2 linked regions of the Rattus norvegicus genome follow. Each later gene encodes a partner of the first gene's protein in a complex. Links are inferred from orthologs where the notes say so. Each region holds a gene or a part of one and is shown in the gene's direction. Other genes may lie near its edges. The genes, in order: Izumo1 and Izumo1r.

Region 1 (4,242 bases):
GAGAATAATTTGAGCACATATGAAGTCTGTCCAACTCCTTGGCCCCAGAGAAACTTCAAAGACTTTTATTTAGGGTGGGCTAAAAGTGGGCTAGAGGAGAGAACCGCTGTTGAAATGCTCCTTAAGGAGCAATGTTTAAGGTGCTCTTTAAAAAAAAAATTCTAGAAACTTTTTTAAAAAAGAGAGCTTAAAAGTTAAAGAATTATACAAATTAGTCCTGAATTTAGGATCGAGAAGGTTTCTTCTTCTGAAGATGCTATAAGGGATCTGGGATCTGTGTTCTGGAGGTAACCAGGCCTCCAGAAAAGAAGGGTATACCCCTGGGCTCACAAAATCTTAAATCCGGCTTTGAGAAGGTCAAGGGTGAAGGATCAGAAGGTGTTCCAGAACTGTGAGCTCAGCCTAAGTCCCTATAAAACACGGGCTGGAAGCAAAGATGGGACATTTGGCTGACATCAGGTATACTTGATGCTTTTTCAAGAACGGAGAAAGTTTCCTCAGATAGCATTTAATCTAATTGTATTCCCTTCCAAGACCAACTTCTATTCTTCTCAGGGAGTTTCTGTGCCTTTCCCCCAACTTGGCCTGTACAAGCTAGAGAAGGGGGCTGTGAATTAAAGGGCCACATCGCCAATACATGTATCTGATGTTTTTTGGAGCTGACCGTGTAATGCATGTGTGAGTGTGCAACACAATAAAACTGTGTGTGTGTGTGAGTGTGTGTGTGTGTGTCTACCGGGGACATTCATGTTCATGACTCACGGATACAGTAGCTAGTCAGATCTGGTAACCCTTTCTGCAGGACTTGTGGTTCACTTTCCTTTCTCTGAAAACTTCGGTACTGGTCACCAGACCTGTCCTATGTTTTGTCTTATTTTGAGATGGTCTCTGTAGTCCATGCTGGCCTAGAACTCGCTCTGTAGACCAAGCTGGCCTGGAATTCGTGGCAGTCTTCCTGCTTCAGTCTTCCAAGTGCCAGGACTACATGTGTGGGTCACCATGCTTGGATCCAGGCCCCTCCTTATCTGGGCTTGAGGCAAGAAGGGAAGAATATCACTATCAACTATGGTTTCCATGCTTTGGGACAGATCATAAAGAGACGCTCCAGTGCCTTCTGGGAGTTGTAGTCCTAGTTTAGAAGACTCGTTTAGAGACTCCCGCATCTCTTTATCTGGACACCAAGGTTTCTAGTCAACCAGCGGGCACCTTGCGAGAAACCTGGGGTCTCTGAAGACACGAAAGGAGGCTAGAGCAGGTTACCGGCTTCCGTTCCGGTCCGTAGGTGCTGGGAAAGTTCTACGAAGGGACTGCCACCCTATGACGTCATGGTAGGATGGGCGGGGCCTGCTTTGTTGCAATCCAATCAAACTTAAGAGTTGGATTTCTAGCCGGAGGCCTGAGAATTACTTCTAAGGGAATTGGGGTCCCACATGTGGGATGTGGCCCGAGTGTTTTGTGAAGAGGGGACGACAAATGACTCTTGGAGTCAGTAGAAAAACACTAATTTCCTCTCCCAGTCTCCCAGGAACAACTCTTAGTCGTGAGAAAGTATTTTAAAAAGTCCTCAGAACCTGAGCTGGGCGAAGCAGCGCTTGAAGGCTCGGAGTTGGAGAACAGCTATTAAAGGGTGTTGTTTAAGGTACTGGGGGGGGGGCCTGAAAAGAGTCTGTCCTGAAAGCTAGGGGTCTCAACCTTGAGAATAAGTAAACAGGTGCCCCAGAGACTGGAGGATGGCTTTGGAGGCATGATGAAGCTTTTGTAGGTTCAAGTGTCAGCTTTAAGGATTTGGGGTTTAAAATTTTTTGTCCTGAATAGTTTATCCAAGTTGGTAATATCCACGTTGGTTACTTGTTAGATAAATTATTTAATTATATATTTAATTAATTAATTTGGAGACAGTCTCAAGTAGGCCACGGTGGTATTGACTTAGCCTCCCAAGTGCTGCTACCTGTTTTTTTTTTTTTTTTTTTTTTTTTGTTTCTCTGGTTTGACTATTGAATGTTTAGTTTGCGGTGTCACATGTTTTCCGGGCTTGAAAGTCTGAATGTTGATCTATTCTTGGGTTCAGAGTTATATAAGAGTTCGGGGTAGCTGGGGAGTGAGCCCCTGGATTGGAAGTCTGAATGGGGTGAGGATGGAGGTGGTCCTGAGTTTGGGATCTGGCTTAATAGTTTTCAGGGATGCAATGAGGATCCTAAAGTTTGAGGTCCAGGAGTCCGAGTTCACAACTTTGGGTCTTTGATTAACGATATCTCCTTTTACTTGGGAATATCTCAAAGATCCTCATATTGAGCTTTGGAATCCTCTAAGACTGATTTTGGCTTCTGTTTAGCACCCTCCTCCCTGCCCTTGGTTTGGGGTGAGAGAATCCTCCTCCGGCGGTGCTGGCAAGCTGTGCGTTCTGGCCTCCATGGGGCTACATTTTACACTCTTGCTGGCAGCTCTTGCCAACTGCCTGTGTCCAGCAAGGCTCTGCATCATATGTGACCCGTTTGTGGTGGCTGCAATAAAGACTTTGGAGCAGAATTACCTGCCTACCCACCTGGCGCCCGAGCATCACGAAGATGTAATGAAGAGGGTAGAGCAGGAAGTGAGGAACTTCGCTGATCTGCCCTTGAATCAGAATACCTTTCTGGGGGTTGTAGGTAAGGAGGGCAGGCCATGATGCAGACCTCGGCAGCCTGGGAGAAGGGCTGGGTCCAGAAGTCCTCCTCTACAGGTGACAGGGACTGTAGGTAGAATGAAAAAGTGGCTGGGTGTAGTGGTTCACGCCTTTATTCCCAGTACTTGGGAGGCAGAGGCAGGCAAATCTCTGAGTTCCAGGTCAGCCTGGTCTACAGAGTGAGTTCCAGGACAGGCAGAGATACATACTCTCTAAATCTCTATCTATCTATCTATCTATCTATCTATCTATCTATCTATCTATCTATCTATCATGTATCTATGTATCTATCTATGTATCTATGTATCTATGTATCTATCTATCTATCTATCTATCTATCTATCTATCTATCTAATAGATATTAGAAAAGTCTCCGGATATAGAATCATGAAGTCTTTCTCCATAGCTCACAAGTACAGGGTCTAGCAAGTTCGTATGACAAAACTACAACTCCCAGAAGGCAAATTGTTAGGCCTTTAACCAGGTCTCTCTTTGGCCGAGGGCTTCACGGGTATTGTACTTTCTGTGAGGTAGCAAGCCAATGAGCTAGAAAAGCTGGAGTCTGGGGTTCTATATCTGCCCTCCACACACAGATGAGGACACACTGGAACAAGCATCCTGGAGTTTTCTGAAGGATCTGAAACGTATCACGGACAGTGACGTAAAAGGTAAATGTACCCAAGGATATGGGCAGACCCTTAGAGAAATCATGGCTGGTGATAACTTAAAGCAGATGCGAAGATCCGTGTCTCTGCTTGAGAGCCACTCTGGCTCTGCAACTTCTTAGCCAGGTGACCTTGAGCCTGGGGTCTGGCAACTTCCTCAGCCTCAGCGTGGAGGTGAGCGTCTTCCTCTCTCACTGGCCGTGAGGATTGAGTGAAGTAACGCGTGTGCATTTCATAACCCAATGGCAAGCTCTGTGTTCAGTGCTTGGTCTTGTTGTTCTCCCCTGAAGGGCTAGACTATGAAATGCCAGCCCAGACAGGGGGGGCATGCGTGCGCTCCTAGCTACTCAGGAGGTTAAAGCAGGAGGGCTGATTAAGCCTAGAGCTCCAGAACAGCTAGGACAACAGAATGACATCCTTTCTGAGCAAATAAGAGAGTGGCGCTGGTTGTGGTGGGACACACCATTAATCCCAGCCCTGGGGAGGCAGAAGCTGTCAGATCTCTGAGTTTGAGGGCAGCCTGGTCTACACAGAAAGTTCTAGGCCAGCCAGGACTACATGGTAAGACCCCAGAAAAGAGAGAGAGAGAAAAAAAATGAGGGGTCGGGATGTTGGATGTGGTGGTGTACCCTTGAAGATGGAGGCAGAAGGATGAGGTGTTCAAGATAGCCCCCAGCTACACGGTGAGTCTGAGGTCACTTGTCGTGGTAGCCACAGTATAGGGGATGCTAAGCTGTACCTCATCCCTGAGTTTGGGGGGCTCTTCTCTGGCTCTGCTTTCTCCTAGGAGAGCTCTTTGTAAAGGAGCTATTTTGGATGCTTCGTTTGCAAAAGGACATCTTTGCCACCCTTGTTGCACGTTTCCAAAAGGAAGGTGAGGGAAGATGGAGGGCCAGGACACACACACACACACAC
Region 2 (4,601 bases), on another chromosome or scaffold:
GGCCTGGAGGCTCTCCGAAAGGCAGCCTCTGCGATCGCCCCTCCCCCAGTCCACCTGCGCCCATGCTGGCCGCGACTTTGACTCGTTTCCTACAATTCTGTCCTGGAGGTGGCTAACGCTGCCGTCCTCCTTGTCCCTCTCCCTCCTTGCGAAGGACGTTTTTCCATTCCAGTAATGAGTGTGACTCATTTCTGGATTCTTGCTCTTGCCACATCCACAGTCATTTTAAACTTAATGTTCAATTCCAAATCGCTTACTTGTCAAGACTCGTTGCTCCCTGGGTGTCTATTCAGAACAAGTGTGAGTCCCCGTCTCTGCTGTCCCTGTGGACGCCGATACAAGGAGACCCTTGAGGCAGAAATGCCTTCCCATTTGGCCTCTGATTTCCAGAAGGGAGTCTCAGCTCTGTGGGAGACAGCACATGGAAGTTGGGCTGATAAACATCACCGCTCTGTCTCCAACCCCTAAAGCCAGCACATGCCCCCCCCTAATCCCAGTCTGACTGTGATGTTTAACTTTTTAAAAAAGACCTGGACAGTTCCTACCCCTCGGTCCTGGAGGTGATCCCCTCCCTCACCTGGTCCATAAGCATTAAATATGGAGTCAATCAAGCCTCGTTCAGATTCCAGCTCTCTGGACCTCTATCTGAGCCTCGGTTTCCCCTACATCTGAAAGAGAGTGCTCATTTGGGGGAATTCTTGCAGGCAGTAAGCCAGACCGGGTACCAGTGCCATAGGCTCCAGTCCCATGACTAGTCCTTCTGGATGTTCAATACTTTGTACCCGCGTGTGGAAACTGCCATTTTCCCTGCACATAATTAATATGCTTTGTACACTGACTGGCAGCCGAACATCGTGTGCTGTATTTTGTCTTCCTCAGCGGAAAACGCGGGAGGGTTATTTATTTATTTATTTACTATGTTTCTGTATGAAATTTCAGTGATTTTTGGCTACTTCTCCTTTGGAGGCAGAACATAAAAGACAAGTAAAGTTACAGGCATCACCTCCTACAGAACCTTTGGAGCAGCGGTCAGACCACGCCCCGGGTACAAATGCAGACGGTCCCTGCCCGGGCTGAGGGGCGGCTTTTGTTTCAGGTTTGATTTTTGCTTAAATCCTTGGCGCTCCAGGCTGCCTGTCTGTGCACCTGTGCGCTGCTAAGCTAGCTCCGGATGCTGTGGGAGGATGCTGTTAGCCAGGGGCCCCAGGGAGCTGAGCAGAAGAAGGGCCCCGTGGAACACTGGAGAGGAAGAGCGCGCTTCCGAGAACAAAAGATGAAGGAACTGTTAAGACATCCTTGTGCCGTGACCTTTTCGTGATCTCTCTTTCCTGACAGTCCCTGCCAACAGCTCTCATTACAGAGCACTAGACTGATAGAATCTAAGCTATCCCCAAGTTCTCGCAGGTTAGCAGCAGCGCTGAGAGTTGAACTTGTCCACTGCATGGATCTCTGGTACCGAAACGTCTTGTTTTTCTATCTTGAAGGCATGGAGGATGCTTAGGTCTGGCTACTTGCTGCTCTCCGCACCTGTAGCTCATAGAAGCTGAAGGGCAATAAAAGGCCAGTGGGTGGAGTGCCCTGAGCCTGCTCACCTCTCTGGGCCCAGGAAGAGCAACCAGAGGGCCCTGCCTTGAGGGTAAGTCTGAAGACAACGCTGAGAGGACTGACATCTTTCCTCTCTTGTCTATCTTACCTTCCTGGTCTTTGAGAAGAGTTGTTCTTTGTGCAAACTTGGAGCTCTGTGGGAAAACAGCCGTAGGTTTCGAGGTCGGGGTGGGTTCTGCAGTAGAATCTGGGTCTCTCTCTAATCCACATCTCAGACGTCCTGAGGTAGACATAGGCTAAACTGCTATGTGTAGGGCATGCTCCCAGCAGGCCTAGGAGCCATAGGAGCCATGAAGACCTGGCAGTGAGGACTGACTGGAGCCCTCCTGGAGCAGGGTGCACCCTTGCTCTAGCCGGGGGTGGGAGGGTACATCTTTCTGTCCATCCTCTCCACCCCCACCCATTGCCAGTACAAGCCAGAAGAGAACTGGAAATGTATCCGCAAACACCAAGGTACAAGCCAGCCTCCATGTTCCCGTGCTAGGGTTAAAGATGGAAGGTTCCTCAGCTCCTCATGCCTGACTGTGCTCCCAGCCCTTAGAGGCCAGCAGGATTCTTAGCGTTGTCTATTATGGCCTGACACTTAGGGTGTCTCTGAGATAGACTGGGGTGGGTTGAAATGAGCTAAAGAGAGCTCAGCGGTTGCAGGGACAGAGTGGGGATGAGCTACTCCGAGAAGCTCCATAGCCTGGTGCGGACCCTTCCTAGGGACTAGAATTAGGGTTGGCACGTGACGGAGAAAGCTAAGGCCAGCCTCAACCACCCCATCCCACCATATCCTTTGGCCATAAGGAGAATCTGCTTACTGGGATTGGTCACTTGGCCAAGAAGCTGTCTGCGGGCTGGGCCCAAAGCTCTAAACTCCCAGTCCATATATTACTGAGCTAGCAAAACCGCATCTAAGTGAACACAGCTTGAAAACATTCCCCACCTGCCCTCCTCTTCAGAGCTGTCTGTCTGTTTTTCCTTTTTCTTTTTTCTCTCTTTCCTCTTATTGCTCAGTTTGGTGTCTACGTTTCTACCATGGTTTGTACTGGGGTGTCAGATCCAAGTCATACTCTACGTTCTGTGATGTTGCTCTACACAGAAGGTTCTAGGAGCAGCCAGAGTGTTTCAGGGTTCCTAAGGGAGCCCTGGAGCCCCTACTCCCTCTCCAATGCCTGAAGGTTGGCAGGAGCAGGGTGGGTCTTACCTTCTTGGTCTTTGAGAATAATGTCCTCTCTACCTTAGGCTCCCCTCTCAACAGGTCATGGCACAATGGTGGCTGATCCTCCTGGGCTTGTGGACAGTCCTGCCCAGCTTGGCCGGGGGCAAGCTGCTCAATGTCTGCATGAATTCCAAGCACCACAAGCAAGAGCCTGGCCCAGAAGACAAGCTCTACTTTGAGGTACAGAGGAGCTGGCCCAGGGGCTGAGGAGGCTTCTTAGAATTATTGGAGAAGGAATACAGGCAAGATGGTCTCTGCACCCCATCACCCCTGATCTCTCAGTTCCTTAGTTTGGGGTCCATCCAGGGCTTTGCTGCTGAGCTGCTCTGGCTGCTTGGGAAACAGGTCATGTGGTGATCCCGGAGGATATGTTAGCTAACCATGGATCAGATCAAGCCTTCCTGTCAACATGGCGAGTCATAGACCTTGATTTGTGTCCTTTCCAGTCTCCTAAATTCCAACTATAAGTCCCTCCCACCCATCATACTGACCCAGGTTCCTGAACCTATTTTCTTTCATGGATTTATTACCTCCCTGGAGCTGATAGCAGGAAGCTATATTTGTGGCAGGAAGATAGGGAGGAAGGAGGTCAGTGGTCAGGTGCACCTCATTCTTCAGATGCTAGAGTCCCTCCTCTACAGAGGTGCTCATACGTCCCCTCTCCTGATACCCTTCTGCCCAAGCCACCCAAGCCAGCCTCTTACCCACCGTCTGTTGCCTCTGCCCCCGCCTCAGTGCATGCCCTGGAAGGACAATGCCTGCTGCACACGCGACACAAGCTGGGAAGCCCACCTTGATGAGCCCTTGCTCTTTAACTTCAGCATGACGCACTGTGGACTGCTGACCCCGCTCTGCCATAAGCACTTCATCCAGGCCATCTGCTTCTATGAGTGTTCCCCCAACCTGGGGCCTTGGATCCAGCCGGTGAGGAGACAGGAGGCAGACCCATGCAACACCCTTCCATTAAGTCCTAGGCTGGCATCTACAGGAGGCAAGTAGGACCAGGAGATGCTGTCCCTCTAGGGATAGGAGCAGAGCCAGAGGCCTCTGCTGGAGAAAGGGATGAAGAGGAAGCTAGACTGCCTCTGTCTCTGGAGGATAGCATGGCAGACACTACTGAAGAGGGCAAGTAGGATAAGGCTGGGTGGATGAGATGAATCTAGCCATCTGTACTTACTGTGAGACCTGGGACTGATAGCCATTCTGCCTCACGGTTCTTTTATCTGATGATGATTGTGGTGGTGGTGGTGGTGGTGGTGGTGGTGGTGGTACCTAGGGCTGAGAGATGGCTCAGTCAGTAAAGTGCTCATCACACAAGTGTGAAGACCTGAGTTCAATCCTCAGAACCCACACAAAAGAGCCAGGGGTAGAGATATGCGGCTGTAATCCCAGCACTACAGAGGCAGAGAAAGGAGGGTCCCTGGAGCTTGCTAGCCGATGAGCCTAGCCTGCTTAGTCAACTCTAGGCCAATGAGAGAATCTAAACCAGTGTAGACGAGGCCTGAAGAACAATAGTTGTTCTCTGGGCACTGCAGACGCACGGGTGCGTGCGCTTGCTGGCGCGCATGCGTGCATATTCACCTGCATTTACAGAATATGAACACACGGACACATAGAAGAAATAATACAGACATTGTAAAGAGTTAAATTCTGCCCCTCTCTTCTGCACCTAGGTGGTGCCAAACAGGCAGGAAGAGCAGCGGCTTTGGGACGTGCCACTGTGCCTGGAGGATTGTGAGGAATGGTGGAAAGACTGCCGCACATCTCACACTTGTAAAGCCGACTGGCT

Evidence for each region.
Region 2: the proteins of Izumo1 (region 1) and Izumo1r are in contact, whole or in part, in a crystal structure (PDB 5JKC), measured with the Homo sapiens proteins. The link is inferred for Rattus norvegicus from reciprocal best matches to the Homo sapiens genes IZUMO1 and IZUMO1R. Residues at the interface, in NP_872381.2 of Homo sapiens: Met75, Val77, Tyr134, Val141, Leu146, Trp148, Lys150, Asn151, Lys153, Glu155, Val156, His157, Ala158, Arg160, Lys161, Ser162, Tyr163, Asn239, Ser240, Ser241, Pro242, Ile245; in NP_001186135.1 of Homo sapiens: Lys42, Tyr44, Glu45, Ile48, Leu58, Trp62, His65, Leu66, Asp67, Gly80, Leu81, Leu82, Met83, Pro84, Gly85, Arg87, Ile91, Met145, Ser146, Tyr147, Gln171.

The regions. Positions count from the first base shown.
Region 1 is NC_086019.1:105,226,186-105,230,427, forward strand, and holds the start of Izumo1 (izumo sperm-egg fusion protein 1 precursor), read left to right. Parts: upstream 1-1,417; 5' UTR 1,418-1,639; intron 1,640-2,332; 5' UTR 2,333-2,410; coding exon 2,411-2,645; intron 2,646-3,255; coding exon 3,256-3,330; intron 3,331-4,114; coding exon 4,115-4,201; intron 4,202-4,242. UniProt on the Homo sapiens protein: Essential sperm cell-surface protein required for fertilization by acting as a ligand for IZUMO1R/JUNO receptor on egg.
Region 2 is NC_086026.1:20,026,559-20,031,159, reverse strand, and holds the start of Izumo1r (sperm-egg fusion protein Juno precursor), read left to right. Parts: upstream 1-1,581; 5' UTR 1,582-1,636; intron 1,637-1,693; exon of another isoform or gene 1,694-2,064; intron 2,065-2,835; exon of another isoform or gene 2,836-2,851; 5' UTR 2,852-2,854; coding exon 2,855-2,992; intron 2,993-3,547; coding exon 3,548-3,736; intron 3,737-4,485; coding exon 4,486-4,601. UniProt on the Homo sapiens protein: Receptor for IZUMO1 present at the cell surface of oocytes (oolemma), which is essential for species-specific gamete recognition and fertilization.